Linked DNA regions of Arabidopsis thaliana. The protein of the gene in region 2 interacts with the protein of the main gene of each other region in a biochemical or structural test. Each region holds a gene or a part of one and is shown on either strand. Other genes may lie near its edges. The genes, in order: AT5G08450, SUMO1, UBA2A and SCE1.

The links.
Region 1: the proteins of SUMO1 (region 2) and AT5G08450 form a complex in vitro, tested with the Arabidopsis thaliana proteins (one study listed by BioGRID).
Region 3: the proteins of SUMO1 (region 2) and UBA2A form a complex in vitro, tested with the Arabidopsis thaliana proteins (one study listed by BioGRID).
Region 4: the proteins of SUMO1 (region 2) and SCE1 form a complex in vitro, tested with the Arabidopsis thaliana proteins (one study listed by BioGRID).

Annotation. Positions count from the first base shown.
Region 1 is NC_003076.8:2,727,098-2,734,560, reverse strand, and holds AT5G08450 (zinc finger CCCH domain protein), read left to right. Parts: upstream 1-1,635; 5' UTR 1,636-1,820; intron 1,821-1,918; exon of another isoform or gene 1,919-1,955; 5' UTR 1,956-1,988; coding exon 1,989-3,655; intron 3,656-4,099; coding exon 4,100-4,107; intron 4,108-4,533; coding exon 4,534-4,709; intron 4,710-4,888; coding exon 4,889-4,949; intron 4,950-5,032; coding exon 5,033-5,131; intron 5,132-5,273; coding exon 5,274-5,368; intron 5,369-5,498; coding exon 5,499-5,612; intron 5,613-5,748; coding exon 5,749-5,816; intron 5,817-5,954; coding exon 5,955-6,065; intron 6,066-6,140; coding exon 6,141-6,387; intron 6,388-6,480; coding exon 6,481-6,591; 3' UTR 6,592-6,948; downstream 6,949-7,463. Other genes in the region: AT5G08460 (GDSL-like Lipase/Acylhydrolase superfamily protein), read right to left, coding at 1-225, 729-856, 1,041-1,341.
Region 2 is NC_003075.7:13,495,714-13,499,360, reverse strand, and holds SUMO1 (small ubiquitin-like modifier 1), read right to left. Parts: upstream 2,075-3,647; 5' UTR 1,896-2,074; coding exon 1,821-1,895; intron 1,212-1,820; coding exon 1,062-1,211; intron 981-1,061; coding exon 903-980; 3' UTR 541-902; downstream 1-540. Other genes in the region: VTC2 (GDP-L-galactose phosphorylase 1), read left to right, coding at 1-99; AT4G26830 (O-Glycosyl hydrolases family 17 protein), read left to right, coding at 2,962-3,647. UniProt on the Arabidopsis thaliana protein: Ubiquitin-like protein which can be covalently attached to target lysines as a monomer. Does not seem to be involved in protein degradation and may function as an antagonist of ubiquitin in the degradation process.
Region 3 is NC_003074.8:21,048,202-21,053,934, forward strand, and holds UBA2A (UBP1-associated protein 2A), read right to left. Parts: upstream 4,120-5,733; 5' UTR 3,944-4,119; coding exon 2,507-3,943; 3' UTR 2,482-2,506; exon of another isoform or gene 1,554-2,481; 3' UTR 526-1,553; downstream 1-525. Other genes in the region: AT3G56870 (uncharacterized protein), read left to right, coding at 4,876-5,733. UniProt on the Arabidopsis thaliana protein: Heterogeneous nuclear ribonucleoprotein (hnRNP)-like protein that acts as a component of a complex regulating the turnover of mRNAs in the nucleus. Binds with high affinity to RNA molecules that contain U-rich sequences in 3'-UTRs.
Region 4 is NC_003074.8:21,427,975-21,432,085, reverse strand, and holds SCE1 (sumo conjugation enzyme 1), read left to right. Parts: upstream 1-1,687; 5' UTR 1,688-1,975; coding exon 1,976-2,044; intron 2,045-2,170; coding exon 2,171-2,254; intron 2,255-2,741; coding exon 2,742-2,894; intron 2,895-2,986; coding exon 2,987-3,100; intron 3,101-3,192; coding exon 3,193-3,255; 3' UTR 3,256-3,590; downstream 3,591-4,111. Other genes in the region: AT3G57880 (Calcium-dependent lipid-binding (CaLB domain) plant phosphoribosyltransferase family protein), read left to right, coding at 1-888. UniProt on the Arabidopsis thaliana protein: SUMO-conjugating enzyme that accepts the SUMO proteins from the E1 SUMO-activating heterodimer SAE1/SAE2 and catalyzes its covalent attachment to other proteins with the E3 SUMO ligases SIZ1 and MMS21.

The DNA.
Region 1 (7,463 bases), on a different chromosome or scaffold from region 2:
GTTGGAGAGAAGGAGGTCGGCGAAAGAAGTAGGGTCGTAAATAGAGCTTGAGAGGAATAGCCTTGGTTTCAGATAATTGTTAATGTAGTCATTGTTACCCAATGACACCACCACCAATGACTTTGCCATATATTCCTTCACTGACTCTTTCCTCATGCTCCTACTTATCTCCATTAATGTCTTCTCGAAGTTCTCCACTTGTCTTCCCATGCTAAATCTCTCTCCCTTCATCCATGCATGCATGCAAGAATGCAACCCCATTTATTATAGTCTTTTTTTTGGGGTTATTAAATACTCATGTCTCGTAGGCAAAAGTTTTTCATGCACCCTATCAAAGTCACTCGACATTAAATAACCTCCCGTGATTCAAATGTGGCTACTTCTATTGGTTAAAGGACGACTGTTCCGGCGGACTTTATGCACCCCAAATTCACTTTTTTATTTTTTTATTTTTTTTACTTAGCGAAAGATAACTTTCAATTTTCAATATCGAAAACCGTATGCTTATTAACAAAAAAGCATAGTACAATTCAATTTTCGGTTTCAGTTTTGGATATTTCGAACTTGGATTCTTTATATGAACATAAGCAATCGATTAGACCAATTTCGTTAAACAAAGTTTTTGATATGAACTAACATGGTAAAAAAAAAGAAACATATCCTATATAACCAAAAAATGTTTTGAACAATAAAAATAGACATTTAGAAAGAAAAAAAAGAAGAAGTACCAGATGGCGACCGGTTTCCTCTAAGATTCCTCCGGCAGCTGAGGCATAGTTCACACCATGGAGAATATCCACTCCTCCGTCAACCGTGTCCATAAACGCCGGTATCTCCGGCAGCCCTAGCAACTCTCCTGCAACCATCCACATCCATCCCCATGATCATGTTAATTAATTAATTGCTAACCCAAAACAAACTAAAAAATTAACAAAACAAAAAAAAAAAGTAAAAGGGTGAATCTCTTGTGCAAATTAAATTTATGCATGCACTGATTTCAAAACCAAATGCATGTAGAGACCGATATGTAAAATATGTACCAATGAAATCGACGATAGTTTTGCCGTTAGAGAAGCGACCGGTTGGTTGATTTCCAGCGAAATCGATGCCGTAAGGGAGATAGTTGGACCTAGCCAGTGAGTTCAAGTGGTTATTGTTTCCGTTATCCACCAAAGAGTCTCCGAACACAAACATCGCCGGAAACATTGCCGTCGTCTCGGATGAGTCTTCTCCACCGGCGAGTACAAATACTACTAGAAACCATGGAACAAGTACTAATGTTTGAACTGTGCAAGACATCATCATCATGTCTTTAAACTTGAATATTTCACTATCATGCATGGTCGCTTGAGATATATAAATACCAAGGTGATATGACTCCTTCCTTCGATTTATTTATTTATTATTTTATTTCGTCTCAGTGAATTTAATGAGCTCTGTTTTCCGTTGACTTTTTATTGTACTGTATAAAAAAAATTAAAAACGACAAAATCTATATCCTATGAACAATTCAATTAATAGAAAGTTTTATGGAAAAAGTGAGAGATTGAATAAGTATGAGGGCATAACGGCAATAAATAAAACCTAAATTGTGGAGACTTGTAAGAGCACGACGGTCTGTGACAAGAAGCAAATATTAACGCGAAAAATAAACATTTGTCCAAAATAAAGTAGCAAACCAAGGAGAACGGAAAATAAATTAGACTCATCAGAGAAACTCAGAGAGAGGCAAAAGTCCGAATCCAGTTTGCCATTTATTACTTCCCGGCGGCAAAATCCAAAAGGGTTTGCTTCTTCGTGCTCTGCTTCAGTTTCAATTGGTAAAAGAAATATCCTTTTTAAAAAAATCTTCGGCTCTGTGTTCATTTTAGGGATTCAATGTTTAGTCTGGTGATTCAAATTCTGTGTTTTGCTCTAGGTTGTGTATGAATTAAGTGCAATTCTATCTGTTGCAGCAGTGAATTTCTGGGTTATTGAATTTGGGAGTGATGAGTGGTGTTCCAAAGAGATCTCACGAAGAGGGTGTTACTCATCCATCTTCTTCTTCATCAGTAGCAAAATACCCTCACGAGGATTCTGGATCTTACCCTAAATCGCCGCATCAGCCTGTGACGCCACCACCGGCTCAGGTTCATCATAACCATCAACAGCCCCATCAGCATCCCCAATCTCAATCTCAATCTCAGCCTCAACCTCACCTCCAGGCGCTTCCTCACCCTCATTCTCATTCTCACTCCCATTCACCACTTGCTGCTGCTGCTTCTGCTTCTGCTCCTTATGAGGTTGAATCTAGAACGGTGGTTAAGGTTGCGAGAAGCGAGCCTAGAGATGGAGAGAGACGCTCTCCTCTGCCTCTTGTCTATCGGTCTCCGTCGCTGCCCACAACTGTTTCTTCTAGTGATCCTCATTTGACTCACGCCCCTGTGCCGATGGAGCCGAGAGATGGTGCTAAGGATGGCAGGGAAATTAGGGTTGAGAGTAGAGAAAATAGGAGTGATGGGAGAGAGATATATGGTGAGACAAAGAGGGAGATTCAGGGTCCTAAGGGAGACAGAGATGTGAAATTTGAGAGATCAGTAGATGACTTTAGCGGAAAAGGTAATACCGGAAGCTATACTAGGAATGATGGGAGAGAGATGTATGGTGAGACTAAGAGGGAGATTCAGGGTCCTAAGAGTGACAGGGATGCCAAGTTTGAGCGTCCAGGGGATGATTTTAGCGGGAAAAGTAATGCCGGTAGCTATACTAGGGATACAAAATTTGATAGGGAGAATCAAAATTATAATGAACAAAAGGGGGAGATTAAGATGGAAAAGGAAGGGCATGCTCACTTGGCTTGGAAAGAGCAGAAGGATTACCATAGAGGGAAGAGAGTTGCTGAAGGTTCGACTGCAAATGTGGACCCGTGGGTTGTATCCCGCGGTAATCCGCAAGGCCCAACTGAGGTTGGGCCTAAAGATCTCTCTGCGCCTGTGGAGGGGTCTCATTTGGAAGGACGTGAAACCGTCGGAGAAAACAAGGTTGATGCCAAAAACGAAGATAGATTTAAGGAAAAAGATAAGAAAAGAAAAGAGTTAAAGCATCGAGAATGGGGGGACCGAGACAAGGATAGAAATGACCGTCGAGTATCTGTGCTTGTTGGTAGTGTCATGAGTGAACCCAAAGAGATTGGAAGAGAAGAAAGGGAATCCGATAGGTGGGAACGGGAGAGGATGGAGCAGAAAGATCGAGAAAGAAATAAAGAGAAAGATAAAGATCATATCAAAAGAGAGCCAAGGACTGGTGCTGAGAAAGAGATCTCGCAGAACGAGAAAGAGCTGGGAGAAGCATCTGCCAAACCCTCAGAGCAGGAATATGTGGCACCAGAGCAGAAGAAGCAGAACGAACCGGATAATTGTGAAAAAGACGAAAGAGAAACAAAGGAAAAAAGGAGAGAGAGGGATGGTGATTCAGAGGCAGAAAGAGCTGAAAAGCGCAGCAGAATCAGTGAAAAAGAATCTGAAGATGGGTGTTTAGAGGGTGAAGGAGCTACCGAGAGGGAAAAGGATGCCTTCAATTATGGGGTTCAGCAGAGGAAGAGAGCGCTGAGACCGAGAGGCAGCCCACAAACCACTAATCGCGACAATGTCCGCTCACGGAGTCAGGACAACGAAGGGTGCGTCTCTCTGTCTTCCTCGTTTAATTATAATTATATGTTTCTCATTGCTTAGTAGAATCCTTTATCTTTACCATTTAGAGAGACATACCCCATTGATTAAATTTGGAGCCTATATAGTAATATCTGCAGGTGATACGATACTATATGATGAAGGGGCCATTATTGTTGAATATCTTATTACCATTATTGTTTTTCCTCTTAAAAGATAAAAAGCCTTTAAATAAAATTCTGCAATCATATGTGTATTATGTAGTGTCTTATCTCTGAAAACCAAATTTGATTTTTCTCTGGATTCCTCTCCGCTCCTTTTCTATCTGTGTTAAGAATATTATGTCTTTTATTACGTAAGTTAGGTATTAGCTAAGCTCAAGACTTTTGTTTTTGTAATTACTGGCCTGGCTTGTAATGTATCATCCGTTTTTGATTGTGTTTATTTTGCAGAGTACAAGGTAATCATTCATTTCTATATCCTCAAGAAAGGATCAAGTTGCACTGCTTGGAGAACAATAGTAAAAAAAAACCGGTTATGACATTTTTCTTTTACATATCACTGAAATGGTCATCTACGAACACACATGCACTTGATAAGCAATCTATTTTGAGATTTTCTTCTTATGGTCGTCCTTAGGTTACTGTTCTTTACTCTCACAGTAGAATGTCAAATATATAAAGAACCTCAAGATCTAAAAATATGGACCTAATAGTCGATGTGATCCTTAATGCTACTTGAGATTTTGGCTGCTAAAAGTTACTTACTGCCCTGGCTTTTTTTTTAACTTTTATCATTTTTCTGTTTCTTTTATTTTCTACACAATTTGAATCCCTTTGCACTTCATAATTTGATCTTGTTGAATTTTATTGTACTGATGATTCAGGCAAGTCAGAGGTGTCGATTGTTGTTTACAAAGTTGGCGAATGTATGCAAGAACTGATTAAGTTGTGGAAAGAATATGATTTGTCTCATCCTGATAAAAGCGGTGATTTCGCTAATAATGGCCCCACTCTTGAAGTTAGGATTCCAGCTGAGCATGTTACTGCTACAAATCGCCAAGTAAGTCGAATATATATCCAAATTTTTCTCATAATCATTTTCATTGTTTTTCTTCTAGATGACTTGGTGCATATAGTTTTAGTTCCAGTCTTTTGATCTGTTTAATTCACTTCGCCTATTAATTTGAGAAACACAGCTCCCTTGTTTGTTACTTGCTGAGACATTTGGCTCGTGTGCAGGTAAGAGGTGGCCAACTATGGGGAACAGATATATACACAGACGATTCCGATCTTGTTGCTGGTATGTACCCTAATGAATCTTATGCAATTATTATCTTTGTTTGGCCCGAACATGACATTGATTCTGGTCTACCTGTCATCTAGTTCTCATGCATACAGGTTACTGTCGTCCCACAGCTTCTCCTCCTCCACCGACAATGCAAGAGCTGCGCACTACTATTAGAGTCTTGCCGTCACAAGATTGTAAGTTAGCTTACCTCTGTCTTGCTTTTGATTCCTTTAACTGACTGTTGCATGTGAACTTCATACTATGTTGAGCTCTTCTCTGCTTTATATCAAGGAAGAATCTTTATCAAACTTCCAACTTAACTGATATATTTGTTAGACTACACCTCCAAGCTAAGGAACAATGTCCGTTCTCGAGCATGGGGAGCTGGAATCGGATGCAGTTATAGAGTTGAGCGGTGCTATATACTGAAGGTGATTTGACATGTGCCATTATGTGTCTTTCTAATTTCCTTGATTATCTTCTCCCACTATGTGCGTAATATCTAGTTTTAAGTGAATTTGTGTAAAACTCCTTATGGAAATTCTGATGATATGATTCCAGAAAGGAGGTGGGACTATTGAACTGGAACCTTCCCTTACACACTCCTCAACTGTGGAGCCAACTCTTGCACCAATGGCTGTTGAAAGATCTATGACCACCAGAGCTGCAGCTTCGGTATTTTCCTTCCACTTTGGAAATATCTGCTCTCTTAATCTTCTTACAACTCTTGGATTATTACACATGGCGGCTTGCATAGTTTTCTCATATTTCATATCTTTCGAACACTGACGACTTATTTACTGTTCTGTAGAATGCTCTGCGGCAACAAAGGTTTGTACGAGAAGTCACAATACAATACAATCTCTGCAATGAACCTTGGTAACTCTCTGTCAATAATCTCCAAATACTTCAAAAATTGTTCACAGAATTTCCTAAATTTATCAGAAATCTTTGTCACCTAAAAGTTATCAGACGCAAGGGTCAGTTTTACTTACGCATCGATCTACTTGTCTGCAGGATTAAATATAGCATAAGCATTGTTGCTGATAAAGGTCTCAAGAAGCCTCTTTTCACCTCTGCCCGCTTGAAGAAAGGGGAAGTTTTGTACTTAGAAACTCATTCATGCAGGTATGCACATCACATGTTTCTTTTATCTGACATTAATGACATAAGACGCTGAATCTAATCTGTGTATGCAAAAAGGTATGAGCTCTGTTTCGCAGGAGAGAAGACCATCAAAGCAATCCAAGCCTCACAACAACAATCATCACATGAAGCTATGGAGACAGATAATAATAATAACAAGTCACAGAACCATCTGACAAACGGTGACAAAACAGATTCAGACAACAGTTTAATTGATGTTTTCCGCTGGTCACGATGTAAGAAACCTCTCCCACAGAAGCTTATGCGGTCTATCGGGTTTCCACTCCCAGCAGATCATATCGAGGTTAACATTTTTCTCCAATTTGACTCTTCTTGTTTTGAAAATTCTTTATAAAACAAATGCTGATGATGTGTTGTGGATTTTGGAATGGAGTAGGTGTTGGAGGAGAATCTTGATTGGGAAGATGTACAGTGGTCACAAACTGGTGTTTGGATTGCTGGAAAAGAGTACACTCTTGCTCGTGTTCATTTTCTCTCCCCCAACTAAAAAAAACCTTTCATGCTTTGCTTCTATCTTACAAAACTTTTTATATTTTATTTATGGATTAGAGACTACAGTTACTTTGGCCTATCTTGTCTTGTGTACTTCTTCCTTGTAACATTTATTTATATATCGTCAGAAACATCCTTGGCACACCTCAACTTGCCACCTAACTTCTTCAGCACTAGAGGTATACACTCGGCCATCTGCCCAGGTTCCCTTTTCGAGAATCAAAAAAAGATTGTGCATATCTCTGATTCCAGCATCAAAATCCTCCCAAGCCGTCCTGATCAAACCCCATTGGACTGACTTGCCACCAATATGATATACTCCATTCTTTGGTTTGATATTTCTCGAGGAGACATGATGGATAACCAAAGCAGCCTTTCCCCCACGGGACTACCAATTTTCGGGCCGCTTTTAACACTTCTCCATAACTTCAAGCCGAACTGCAACACACTAGAATTTCATCATGCAGCAAGAACATCAACATATAGCGAGAGCTCACTCCTAGTTGCATAACCTCCTCTCTAAGCTCCTTTTTATACTTAGCCCGTTCAGGCCCGCGGGCTGCTAGCCCACTTTAACATCACATATGCCATCAGTGAACATCACATATGTTGGGCTTTGTTAGCTTTGTATGATGTGGTTCAATGAACATCACATATGCCAAAGACGGCATTTTGGTAATTACATGTTGACTTAGAATATAGAATGGCTTCTCTTTAGAAATGATTTCATTTCATCTTCTTCTGAAAACCGACATTTGTAATGAAATGTAAAGTGGAACTCAGATCAACAAAAGATTTGGTTTATTACTACTTTTTTTTTTGCTCATATTTTTTTTTTCATATACTGAAATTGATTGAATAGTTTTT
Region 2 (3,647 bases):
CAGCAAAACTCTAGTGGCAATGTTAACCAGAAAAGCAACAGAACCCATGGAGGTCCGATCACAAATGGGACGGCCGCCGAGTGCCTTGTCCTTCAGTGAACAATATGGTGACTTGGTGGTTTGTATGTATAATTAAAAGCCTAAATAAGCAAACTCTCTTTGTAGTTGCATTTGAAGCTTCTTGGTTTATGTATGATGGTTGTGGGCATTTTGTGCCTAGACTTCTGGTTCTTTGTTTTTTGTTATGAGTTGGTGTTTATGAATTATATATGTTCTTCACTAATATGATTATTATTTGTATAGATTTGATTATTCAAAGGATATGTCTTAAGAAGGGGTTCAGGTTCAGCCAACTAATTACTTGTAACCAAGTCTTTCTACCATCAACAACCATGTTAAGATTCAGACACTTAGTTTTTACAGCTCGAGACTCGAGAGAGAGTAATAATACTGATTATTGTCTTGTCTATAACCACCACAAGCTCTGGTTATGAAGTCGTCCTCTATAGACTATAATTCACTAACTCGATGCTAGTTCATGTTTAAGTAATATTTTGTTTAGTTGACTAGATGGATTTTATCTTTGCTCGCCATTAGCTCAATGAGCTACGTATATGTTAAGAGTCACACTTTCAATAATTAATAGCTTTTTACCGTTACCATACCAACAAACTTTAGATAATTGGGTTAATAACACCTTTAAGCCGAAATAGTAGTATCATAGGATCCGATACCAAACGAACAAGACAAAAAATCAACCAAAGGGTTCTTTAACCTTCGTGACCATAATAACTTAGTTTCTAAAGAGAATGGTCACGATAAAAAAACAAGTCTGCAAATCCTAATGCCGATTACTCCTTAACCATTCATATCACACACAAGCCCTAAACCTGGACGAAGTGTCAGGCCGTAGCACCACCACCGCTGCCACCAGTCTGATGGAGCATCGCATCGATCTCATCACCATCCTCCATGTCAAGCTGTAGTGTCAAGAATTATTAGTATCAGAAACTATAAACTTCAAAAGGTAAGAAATAAAGCATGTAGAATGAATGTTATACCTCATCGGGAGTTTGCTCAGCACGAAGACGACGCCCATCAAACAAGAAAGCAATGGAGTTCATGTCCACAGATTGCCGGTCACAGTAAGCATTCATCAGCTTCTTGAGCTGAGTGCTTCTCTTGATCCTAAAGAAAACCTCGTTTCCATCCTATAAAACAAACATATAGAAGGAACAATAAACGTTAGAGACCGCATATGAAACAATAACTAAATCACATGGCTCTCTTTTGGTAGTAACCTGAAAGAGTCGAAAAATTAAACACATATCAACAAACATTCAGTTTAAGGCTTCGTCTATGAGAATTTGAAGCACAAACATCAGCCAAACTAATTGAAAACTTAGTACAGAGACTACAACTTCATCAGAAGATATATAACAACTTAGTACAGAGACAGCATCGTTCACAGTCTTTAGAACATTCAACAACTAAGTAAACTTATCCCTTCCAAAACTATAAAACCCTCAAACAACAACAGGAACCAAAAGCTCAATAACAACTTACACCTAAACAAGACTTATATAATTTCAGAAATTTGATAAACAATTAGCAAAAACAAGCAAACGTGTAAACATAAAGCAGGATACTTTAAACCTGTAAAACAAAAGAGGAAGAAGACCATTAAGACTGAGCTAGTAGTACGAAACCCTAAAATTAAACCAAATTGGAGAATGAAAAACCCTAATCGCAGCTACACGAAATCAGAAACCCAAACATTCACAAGAACACACAAGGATGAGAAGGAGAAAGAGAGATACCTGTCCCTTGACTTTGAGATTGATGTGAGCTCCTCCGTCTCCTGGCTTCTTGTCTTCCTCCTGGTTTGCAGACATCGTGAAAGGTTCTCCGTCCGGTTACAAAAACACGAAATTTGAGAGAACGATGAGAGATTCACACAATCAAAGAATGATGCTGAGAGATGAATATAAAAAGACTGACTCTGAAAATCTCTCTAATTGGCCGTGGCTTTTGTACTTGGACGCATCGGATTCCTCTCTATCATAAATCGTAGGGCATCTATCCAACGGTTCATATTCTCTCTAGGTTCTCTTTTAATCCAACGGCTGCTAGTTATGTTCAAATCTGTCGTTTCGTTATAATGGGCTTATATTTTTATTGGGCCACATCTAACCCACTAGACAATTTCATTTGGTTAAATATTTTAGGTTGCAGTTCCTGATCTCACGTGACGTGAGTCCTCCTATCCACCACTCTCCATGATTTCATCATCTGTTGAAGACTTGACAATTTGACATAGAAGAAATAAATAAATTGTTAAATCTATAAATCATGTCACTTTGTGTATTAACAAAAAGATTAGTTGAAGGAGATAAAGTCTGTCACACACTCTTCACAAAAGAAAGAAATGATGATGAATTAACGAAATATGCGCAATGCAACATATAAAGAACCTAGGTCTTGACTCTTGTTTAAGAAACAATAAAAGTCAAGGTTTTTGTTAGGTTTCTGTTATAACCAAAATCAACTATGAAAACATTCATATGTTAGAAAAACATCAAAATTATAGAGAGTTCCTTTAACTGAAGATTATGGTAAAGTAAAACTTTTTGCTATAAATAGAGCTTTAAAATTATACAGTTTTAGTTAAATCTATTATTTCAGCTATTCTTCCGTGTTATTAGTTATCCCACAACCCCCACTTGGCACTTGTTTACACCTAAATCGTATAAATACTGTAGACCAGCTCCGTCCCAAACGCAACAAAAACTTTCCTTCGTCTCCATAACTATCAAACGACACTCATCTATGCGTTTAATGCTCTGTTTCTGAAGATACACTCGAGAATAACCATGGCCGTTTCTTTCTTACCTTATTTTCTGATTCTTTCCTTCCTCTCAGCCATTGACGCACGTTAGTTTTTAATCTCTTCATATACCTATGTCTGTCTCTGTATTTGCCGTGTCTACTACGTTGTTCTTATTTTGCGTTTTTTTTGTTTTTGTTTCCACAGATTCTGGAATGGTCGGAGTCAATTATGGTCGGATAGCTAACAATCTCCCGTCGCCGGAGAAAGTAGTGAACCTCCTGAAATCTCAAGGAATCAACCGTATCAAAATCTTCGACACCGATAAGAATGTACTAACCGCACTTGCAAATTCCAAAATCAAAGTAATCGTCGCTCTCCCTAACGAGCTTCTCTCCTCCGCCGCCTCCCACCAATCATTCGCCGACAACTGGATTAAAACCCACATAATGCCATACTTCCCAGCGACGGAGATCGAAGCTATCGCCGTCGGTAACGAAGTATTCGTCGATCCGACGATCACGCCGTATCTTGTCAATGCGATGAAGAACATTCACACCTCTCTGGTTAAGTATAAACTCGACAAAGCCATCAAGATCTCGTCTCCTATTGCTCTTAGCGCGCTTGCTAATTCGTACCCGCCTTCCTCTGGTTCTTTTAAACCGGAATTAATCGAACCGGTTGTTAAACCAATGCTTGCTCTGCTTCAACAAACGTCGTCGTATCTTATGGTAAATGCTTATCCGTTTTTCGCTTACGCAGCAAACGCCGATAAAATCTCTTTAGACTACGCTCTGTTTAAAGAAAACGCCGGGAATAT
Region 3 (5,733 bases), on a different chromosome or scaffold from region 2:
TACTAAACATGGAAATCGCAACACAAGGACAATCAAACTCTTGCGAGGTACAGACTTTTCGAAGAAGAAGAATAAATCAAAAACTTAAGCAAGAGAAAAAGCAACAATCTTTTGGAGCTTAAAAAGGACCAGATCTAAAACATGGCAAGTTTGGGTTTTTCTTTCTCAAAAGAGAAACGAAACTATGATAAGTGCAGAGACAGATTTACAAAGCAAACCTAAACTCTGTGTCTGTGTGTGTCTGAGTCTCTCTCTCTCTCTTCGTTTTGTTTTCGCGCAGGAGAGGAAAAAAGAGAAGAGAGAGAAAACCTTTTGATTGAGAAAGTGACACTCGATACTGTGGCAATGCCCCCCTCTCAAGCCTCCTGTGGAATTTTCAATGCGTTTCTTCTTTTTTTAGTTGCCCAAAAATGGTTTCTCAAACTTTCGATCAAAATAAGAAACAGAGGTTTGTTTAAACACTTAATGATTAGTGATTAACTTAAATGAAGGTGGAATCAATAAACACTACATGTGCTCGGAGACCCTTCATTCATTTAGCTTCAATGGGAATTTAGGTAGATTGATTATCAAACTTTAATCAGAAAAGGTTATACATATACATGTTTATGTTCTTTGGCTCTCAACACTAATCCTCATGCCTATGAGTTTCTCTTTAAATGGTAAGTGATTACTATAAATTAATCTGCAATCATGTTAAACCATTTTTAGGCAATAATTTACATGTATTTTTTTGCAATATTGAAATCTCAAACCTTTAATTATACTTTCTATTATCCAATCTCAGATTGGGTTTTATGAACATTGAATGTGGCTTTGAAGAATATTGCATCTTGGATTCTCTTCATCAATGAAGGACCTTTTTCCCTTTTCGAAACTTGACATAACAATTGAGAGATTGTTGACTTGAGATCAAATACACAAAACTCTACTACTTACTTCCCCCAATTCCACTTCAGCTTCATATTCTGCTTCTCTTCTTCATCATCAATGAACCCTTCTACTATGTATCATCATCATAAATAATATTCAAAGCTGCACTTTTCCAAAAAGAGATTTCACCATCAAAGCAATCATCACCAAAAAAACTTTATGCATTCACGCCTTTATAAACTCCTCTGAAACATTAAGGGAAATAATATATCACCTCGTACTCTTGTGACTTTTCTAATAATCCCTGAACCTTGTGCACAAGGACCTGAAGGTACATGCTCTCTAGACCAAAACCAACTTTTATCACTTCAAAGAGGGACTAGGACCAATAAACAAGAACATATATAGGCAAGAGATTCGCACTGAGAGATATACTTTTAACACTTTTGATTACTTACCCTTCAATTGGAAGCACGTTGTATATAGCCAAAGAAGATACTCAACACTTTGAACTTACCTTTTAGTTGCAAGCATGTTGTGGAGATCCAAAGACTTAACTGCCTGTTGTCGAGAAACTCTATTCGATAGCTTCCACTTTTCAAATATTGAGAAATTGCCTCAGAAAGATCATTCTTCAGCTGTGTCGTTGAGAAGCTTGCACCACTTCCCACCAAGTTTGACTGTTCCAAGTTGGCTGCAACTTAGTAATTTTATGACAAATAAGTTTGGAAACAAAGTTCTAATTTGAAATAGTCATTGTAAAAACTTTTGAAACTTGTCATAGAAAATCCAAAAACACAAGTGAGAGAGCTCTGCTGCATTTTAAAATTCCAAGTTTTGATCATTTCAGAACCAATTGCATTCAGATTAGTATATGTGTGCTAAAGAAATTTCATTGACAGTTAGGGGTACATAATCTGGCTGTTCAACCGCAGTCAATTACCTGCAAGAGGAATAATTGAACAAACATAAAATCAGGATAGTACATAAAGCCAGGTTAATCAAGATAACTTGGTACAAAATACACTGCAGGCAGAAAAACACATGAAATCGTAAAACAGAGAAGTCAATAAAAACTATTTAGGAAAAACTAGAGTTCGATAAGCAAAGACCCACATGGAGCGTAGTTGCGCTTTTTTAGTTTTACAAATGAAAGTCTAAGGGGGATATTCAGAAAACTGAAAAAATAGAGACATAAACACTGAAAATAGTAGTACAAAGTTTTTTTTAGGAATTTCATAAAGAGAGTTTGGGAAAAACAAGTAGATGAAAACTAAAACTCCTTAAAAGGTTTTTTATGAGTTTGGCCTTAGGAGTGACCAAAGAGTAACATTTCATAAAGACTTCATTTAGCATCAGCTCCTTATAAACTTGAGAAGAATCACCAGGCCAATATTAAAACACTGATTTCTGATATCTGCACAATGAATTTAAGAAAATAAGAGAAGTAACATGCTTTAACAACCGTTGCAAAATCCCCCAAAACTCCAATGCAAACAAAAACCATGTGGATATACACAGAAACTTCTTGTCTTCAGACATCAGTAAGTTAATATATACTGAGGAAAGACATTTCAACAATTAAACAAGGGAAATTCATTGCTCTACCTGAGTGGATGGATACATGATACATTTAGTGACCCATGTAAGGAGTACCGTATGGCCCGACACCATGTTGCCCTCTACTTGTACCGCCTTGACCAGGTTGCGGAGTCTGATAACCGCCTTGCAACCCAGGTTGTGTACCGTACCCAGGCATTGTCCCCGGTGCCATAGCTTGAGTACCGTAACCAGTTGGCATTCCAACTCCATTCCCTGGGTTTACACCAGCAGCTGTCCCCAAGGAACCCAACAAAGCCTGTCCAATTGCCGGATTAAAAGCCAAACCAGCTCCCTGAGATGCCAATAAAGCTGTCAAGGCCTGTCCAATGGCCGGGTTTATCACCTGTGCCGTTGGACCACCCATCCCAGCTGGGTTACCAGCCATGAGATGTCCATGACCTCCAGGCGGACCATAACCATTGTTATCATTCCTTTGGTAACGAGGATTGTTATAGGCGTGTGGGTTATGGTGATGCTGCTGCTGCTTGCCCGGTTTGGGACCATCGATAGCTTTCTGGCAATGCAAGATATGGCCTTCAAAAGTCTTGTGTGGCTCCTCCAAAGCCCTCTTGGCGCTTTCAGACGACTTATAAACAAAGAGACAGAAACCTTTAGGTCTCCCAGTATACTTATCAAGACCCAAAGGACCTTCTTCAATTTCTCCAAACTTTGAGAAAAACATCAGCAACTTCTGTGGATCAAGCTCTGCTCCGACATTACTAACATAAATCTTTTTCTGAGTATGCTCCGAGTTCGAATGCTGAGCAGGCGCTGAAACAGCTGCAGCAGCGATAGGAGCTCCACCAAAGACAGGTCCTTTAGAAGCCAATTGGCATGCCGTCATACGACTACCAATCTTCTTCTGAGGCTGCTTGAGTGCGTTGCGAGCACCTGAACGAGACTTGTACAGAATAAAGCCATAACCTTTAGATTTCCCTGAGATCTTATCAAACACAGCCTTGCAATCTTCGATCTCTCCGTACTGCTTAAAAGCTTCAATAAGCGTCTCTGTTTTCGTATCCCAACCAAGACCGTGCACAAAGATCTTCCGATGAACAGGGTCCTCATCAGCTACTTCCCTAATTCGATTGGCTACATCAACATGCTTCTCCGCTGCTTCCTTAAGAAGACTCAAAACTTGCTCCTTTGAAAATGGTTCCAACAGATCCTGAATTGGTTCATCGTCATCATCTTCTTGATTGCCAGATCCAGACGTCGCCGCCGCCTCTATACGATTCCCATCCGTCTGATCCTCATTCTCATCACCATCATCTTCATCGTCATCATCTTCTACTTCTTCTTCTTGCTCTTCCTCTACTTCCTCGTATTCAACTTCTTCAACGTCTCCTTGATTATCCTGATTTTTAATTACAAGCTGCTGCTCCTCCTCCGGCGTCTGCTTCAGCTTCTGCGACGGTTCTTCAGCTTCGTTAGATTCTTCTCCTTCGAGCTTTCTCTTCTTTGTCATTTTCGAATTCTAATGGAGATTTTAGGGTTTCGAATGTTTTCTTTGGTTTCTTCTCCAAAAAGCTGATTTTCCCCTCCTTATCTATAATGCGCCGCTATGTGGGTGGTATATCATCAACCTCAAGTCTTTGCTAAGTGGATTTTTACACATTTACCCCTAACCATTTTATATATATAAGCCCATTAATGATTATTGGGCTTTAAGTTTAAAGACCCATTTACGAAAAGATGCTTAAGTAAGAAAAAAAGAATAACGTCAAAGTTCCCGCCATGTGTTTCCCGCGAGACTTGACGGCTCATAAGATTAGTCAGAACTCAGAAGACAAGACAACCAAAGAAAAGGTTTCGCCTCCCTTCTTACAAAGAGCTGCAATTTTCAGTCTCTTGGTCTTCTTCTTCGTCTTGTTTTCAAATTAATGTCTCTCTGTCTCTTTAGTGAACCCTAGATCCAGAAATTAGAGTTTGGAGCCCAGGATTCGGCATTCATTTCCCTTCTCTATCCAATTAAGCGTTGATTAAGACTTAAGGTAAATTCAATGTCCTAGATTCAATTTCTCTTTGATTCATTCATCTACTTTACCCAGATCTGCTCTTTACCATTCTCGAATCGATACAGCTACAAAAAAAATTGATGTAGCGAAATTAGGGTTTTCGCCGCCCATTGTGAATTTCATTTTTTAATTTGCATGTCCTTTTTCGTGGTCAGATTTGTGCAATTGATTTTCTAAGAAAAGAGTTTTGGTTTCAAATTGTGTTTAGTAGCTAATTGATGTTCGTTTCTCTGATTGGCTTAATGAAATTTAGGATTCTGGTTTATTGTTGTTAGCACTTAGCAGTATCCTTACCGGTAATTCCTTTGTTTGTTTCAATCCAGGAGCGCGGGGATTATACGAGCTTAATCAGTTGTTAGCAAGTAATTATCTGATAGTTACAATGGTGGAGTTAAGAAGTAGCACACACTTGAACTCTCATGTACATTATATCCGAACCATTAAAGACGGATCTATCAAAATAGTGATGAATATGGATGGCAGAAGAAAACCAAAGCTCAAATTTAGACAGTTGGTGGATATATACAATCTTGAAGACAGTCAAGGTGTTGAGTCAATTCCAAGAGTAGTCAGGGATTTGGACAATGGTTCTGATTTTACACAAGGTTCTGAGTCTGAAGATTTTAGCATGACAACATTGGAGATGATTCAGAAACAATGCAAAGAAAGGAAAAGGAAACTTAGAAACTGCAGAGATACTACTACTGAGACATTCTCGAACGTTGAAGTTAAAAAAGAGTATGTGACCCAAGATGAAGGATGTGATATTGAGGAGCCTCTTAGCAGTTGGGATACGAAATTCTCCAAGAGAAGGAAGAAGAAGCAGGAGCGTAAAAAAGCAAAGTGTGGTACTTCTACTTCCTCTCCTCCATCTGTGGAAAAGGTTGATTTGCCGTTGGTGCTCTTTCATGTCAAGCCTGAAGTTTGGGATGATAGCTATTCAGTTTCTGAAGCCATGGATTGTAGTGAAAAGTCAGAATCTCCTATAAATACAGTGTTGGTGGAAGAAATAATGCTTGATTCGTCCAGTGACATGAGGCTGGTTCCATACTGCAGTGCAGAGCCAAATTTTCCCGGAGTGGTAGCCATTGAGGAAGCTTTTGAAGATGCATCAGAAGAGTTTAGCGATGCTGATTTTCAGAATAAGCAAATTGTTTTGTACTCTAGTGTGTCTAGAGAGGAGATGGAATTGGATGTTAATCCACAACATTCAGAATATGAGAACATTGGTTGTGTAAAG
Region 4 (4,111 bases), on a different chromosome or scaffold from region 2:
AACGGAGTCAAGAAAATGGGAGAAATTCACTTAGCTGTGAGATTCACTTGCTCTTCATTGCTCAACATGATGTATATGTACTCACAGCCTCTCTTACCGAAGATGCATTATATCCATCCACTGACGGTTAGCCAGCTTGATAACTTGAGGCATCAAGCGACTCAGATTGTATCGATGAGGCTGACCCGAGCAGAACCACCTCTAAGGAAAGAAGTAGTTGAGTATATGCTTGATGTGGGTTCTCACATGTGGAGTATGCGGAGAAGCAAAGCAAACTTTTTCAGGATTATGGGAGTTTTGAGTGGGTTAATCGCAGTAGGAAAATGGTTTGAACAAATCTGCAACTGGAAGAATCCAATCACAACAGTCTTGATCCATCTCTTGTTCATCATCCTTGTGCTCTATCCCGAACTAATCTTGCCCACCATCTTCCTCTACCTCTTCCTCATCGGTATCTGGTACTACCGTTGGAGACCGAGGCATCCTCCTCACATGGACACACGTCTCTCTCACGCTGACTCAGCCCACCCCGACGAGCTAGATGAAGAGTTCGACACTTTTCCTACTTCCCGACCATCTGACATAGTCAGGATGAGGTATGACAGGTTGAGGAGTATTGCTGGTAGGATTCAGACAGTGGTAGGTGATCTAGCAACTCAAGGAGAAAGGCTTCAGTCTCTGCTAAGCTGGCGTGATCCGCGTGCAACAGCGCTCTTCGTCTTGTTCTGCTTGATTGCCGCAGTCATTCTCTATGTGACACCTTTCCAGGTTGTGGCTCTTTGTATTGGAATCTATGCTCTGAGACATCCGAGGTTCAGATACAAACTACCATCCGTTCCTCTCAATTTCTTCAGAAGGCTTCCTGCAAGAACTGATTGCATGCTCTGACCTGCAAAAACTGCTTCCAATACCGAAGAAAACTTCTATAAGACTTGTAGTTTGTTCTTGTTAAAAATATCATGATGACTCTTTTTAGTTTGTTCATTGTTAAAAATGTCATGATGACTCTTTTCTTGGTGATGGTGATGATGTATCCGTCTGTCTTTTAACATTATTAAGACTTTTGTTTGAAAGTAGTAAAGAAGTATCTTGTGTGGTTTTGATGTTCTTGTCACTGGTTAGTAAGTCATAATCTATGCCTCTCTGGTTTTTGTGTTTTATCACTGGAGCTTTAGGAGTTTGGTGCCATTGGGTTGGTTGCTGTTGAGATTAGAGGTTGTCACAGTTTGGTCTAATGGTCAAATACAAGTTTCAAGAAAAAACCATTTTTCTAATACATCCAAAGTTGGTTATAACCAAAAAAACTATCATATTGGGAATATATGTTCGCTAAATAACATTCTTACACAAAAATTCATTGAAAGCTTTGATATTTTATTTTTTTTCCGACCATTCTGTTTGACAAATGTTTGCCAGGTGAGATACTTTTATTCTAGAAAGACCAACCATTAAGAAGAAGAGGGGAATAATTAAAGCAAGCTTAAGAGTTAAGAACACAAAGTAAATGGGCCCAGATATGGTAATGGGCCACGTGACAAATGGGATGATACGTTATGGCAGAGAAAGAATCTTTTGGTAGCTTTTTTGGGTATCATCGCGTAGGTTTCACGCCACATTTATCCATTGACTTTTTCATTACGTCTTTTCATTTATTTTATGATATAGTAGATAATAATTATACCTGGTTAAAATTTAATAATTGACCGGTCAATAACCATTAAAGTGGAGGAAGTAGGACGAAAGGACATTTATTCGCCGCGAAATCTGGACCGTACGATACTCCGATTACCCTTCTAAAGCTTTAACATAGGGGTACATCTGTAACTTCACATTCCATCTTCCCCCAATCTCCTATTTGTGTCTTCTTCGAGTTTATATATAGAGAGATAGAGATTGGAGAGCGAGCGAGACAAATCAGAAGAGAGAGATTTAGATATTGTAGAGTGAGATTCTAAAGAGAGAGAGAGAGAGAGATATGGCTAGTGGAATCGCTCGTGGTCGTTTAGCTGAAGAGAGGAAATCGTGGAGGAAGAATCATCCTCATGTAAGTGATTTCGTGTCTTCTATTTCTCCAAATTCGTGATTTTGATTTATGGGTTTTGGGTTTCTGTTGATTGTTCATGGTCTCTGATTACTGATTGGGTTTCTTCTTGTTGATGGTGAAATTTAGGGTTTTGTGGCAAAGCCGGAGACGGGGCAGGATGGAACTGTGAATCTAATGGTGTGGCATTGCACTATACCTGGTAAAGCTGGGGTAAGTATCAATCGTGAAATTAGGTTTCTTCAGTTTTCTTATTCCTCTGCTTGTTTTCTTCTGGTTTGTATTAGTAGCAACAAAAAAGAGATTGAAATTAGGGTTTATTGATTTGGGCTAAAGTCTTTGTTTTTATCATCTTCTGATTCTTAGTTCTTCAAAGTTTTAAGCTTCACCAGTCTCTTCCCTTCTTTTTCTTTGTGATTCTGTTTGATGATTCTCTCATATTTGCTTACACATAGAGCCGTGGAAGATTATCTAATATGAATGTTAGTGGGAAGAGTAGCTGTGTATCTATCTCCTTGTTTATCTTGTATGATGTTTTTTTATTGGTGCATATGATTTTGGTCTTGAATACGACATTGAAACTGAACTCTGCTGTGTATCTTACTTTGACATGGCTAATAAGAGTGTTACTGCAAGAGCAATTGCTAATATCAATCTTTACTGTTGTTTATAGCTAATTTTACATGTTTCTCTGCTGCAGACTGATTGGGAAGGTGGATTCTTTCCATTAACGATGCACTTCAGTGAGGATTATCCGAGCAAACCTCCGAAATGTAAATTTCCACAAGGGTTTTTCCACCCTAATGTCTATCCATCTGGAACTGTCTGTCTCTCTATCCTTAACGAGGATTATGTAAGTACTCTACTGTTTCTTTCTTTGCATTTCTCCATGAGCAAAAGCCAGCTTTATCCTCAAGCTCTCTTTTGTTATGTGTATATCCATAGGGATGGAGACCAGCCATCACCGTGAAGCAGATTCTTGTTGGTATTCAGGATTTACTTGACACACCGAATCCCGCTGACCCTGCACAGACAGATGGTTATCATCTCTTCTGTCAGGTACATTTAGAAATGAAAACTCTAAACACAATATTAGGTTTTGAAACATAGGAAGGAACTAAGTCGAGTGATTGTTGATGATTATTGTGCAGGATCCAGTTGAGTACAAGAAAAGGGTGAAGCTGCAGTCCAAGCAGTATCCTGCTCTTGTCTAAAACCTCAAAAAAGAGAACGCACCAAAACTGATGACAAGCTCTGAATATTTTCTCGTCTTGTGTCATTATGTTTAGATGTCATTGGGTGATTGAAAACTCCTCATTTTGGCACCTTAAGACACTGGAATCTATTTATTTTCGAAAAAAAACTCTTCTTTCTCTATTTAACTGTTAATATTCTTGGTACTGATTCAGTTGGTGTTGCTTCTATATAATACATAATTATGTTCTCTGGTCGTTCATGAGTGTTGTCCAAATTCTACTAAGTGAAATATGAAGTCTTCATTCCATAGAGTAACGAATCTTAGTTGTGAATCTAGAAATACATATATTTCTAACTTGAAACTACGCTTAACACTTGAAAGTCAAAATCTTACTCCTCTAAAATTTATACTCCACTGATTTTAGACTTTTGAAGTAGTATTAGTGCTTGTTAGTAAATTGTTTGCTACTTGGAACATTTTTTGTCAATGATTGAGATAGAAAGCTTGGAATATTTAACAGAACTTGGAATTTAGCTACGAAATCAAGTGTGCAGAAAGAGATAGGCAAACACCGTATGTCAACAGTTACAAAGCAATAAAACCAAACATTCAATACTTATATACAACTCAATTATTGAAAGTCAACAACAAGCCAAAATCGTCTACAAGTGATGACACTTCAGATATGAAATGTGTGAACTATTATAATCTTTCCTATGATATCATCATCAGCAGATGATTCCTGATCTATTCTATCATCAGAACAATGATTTTCCAAAACGAGTATCCTATAAAATCGTCAAAAGATGATTGACGCTTCTAATAAAATCATCAGAAAATGATACAAGTCTAAGAAACCACCGAACTTGTGA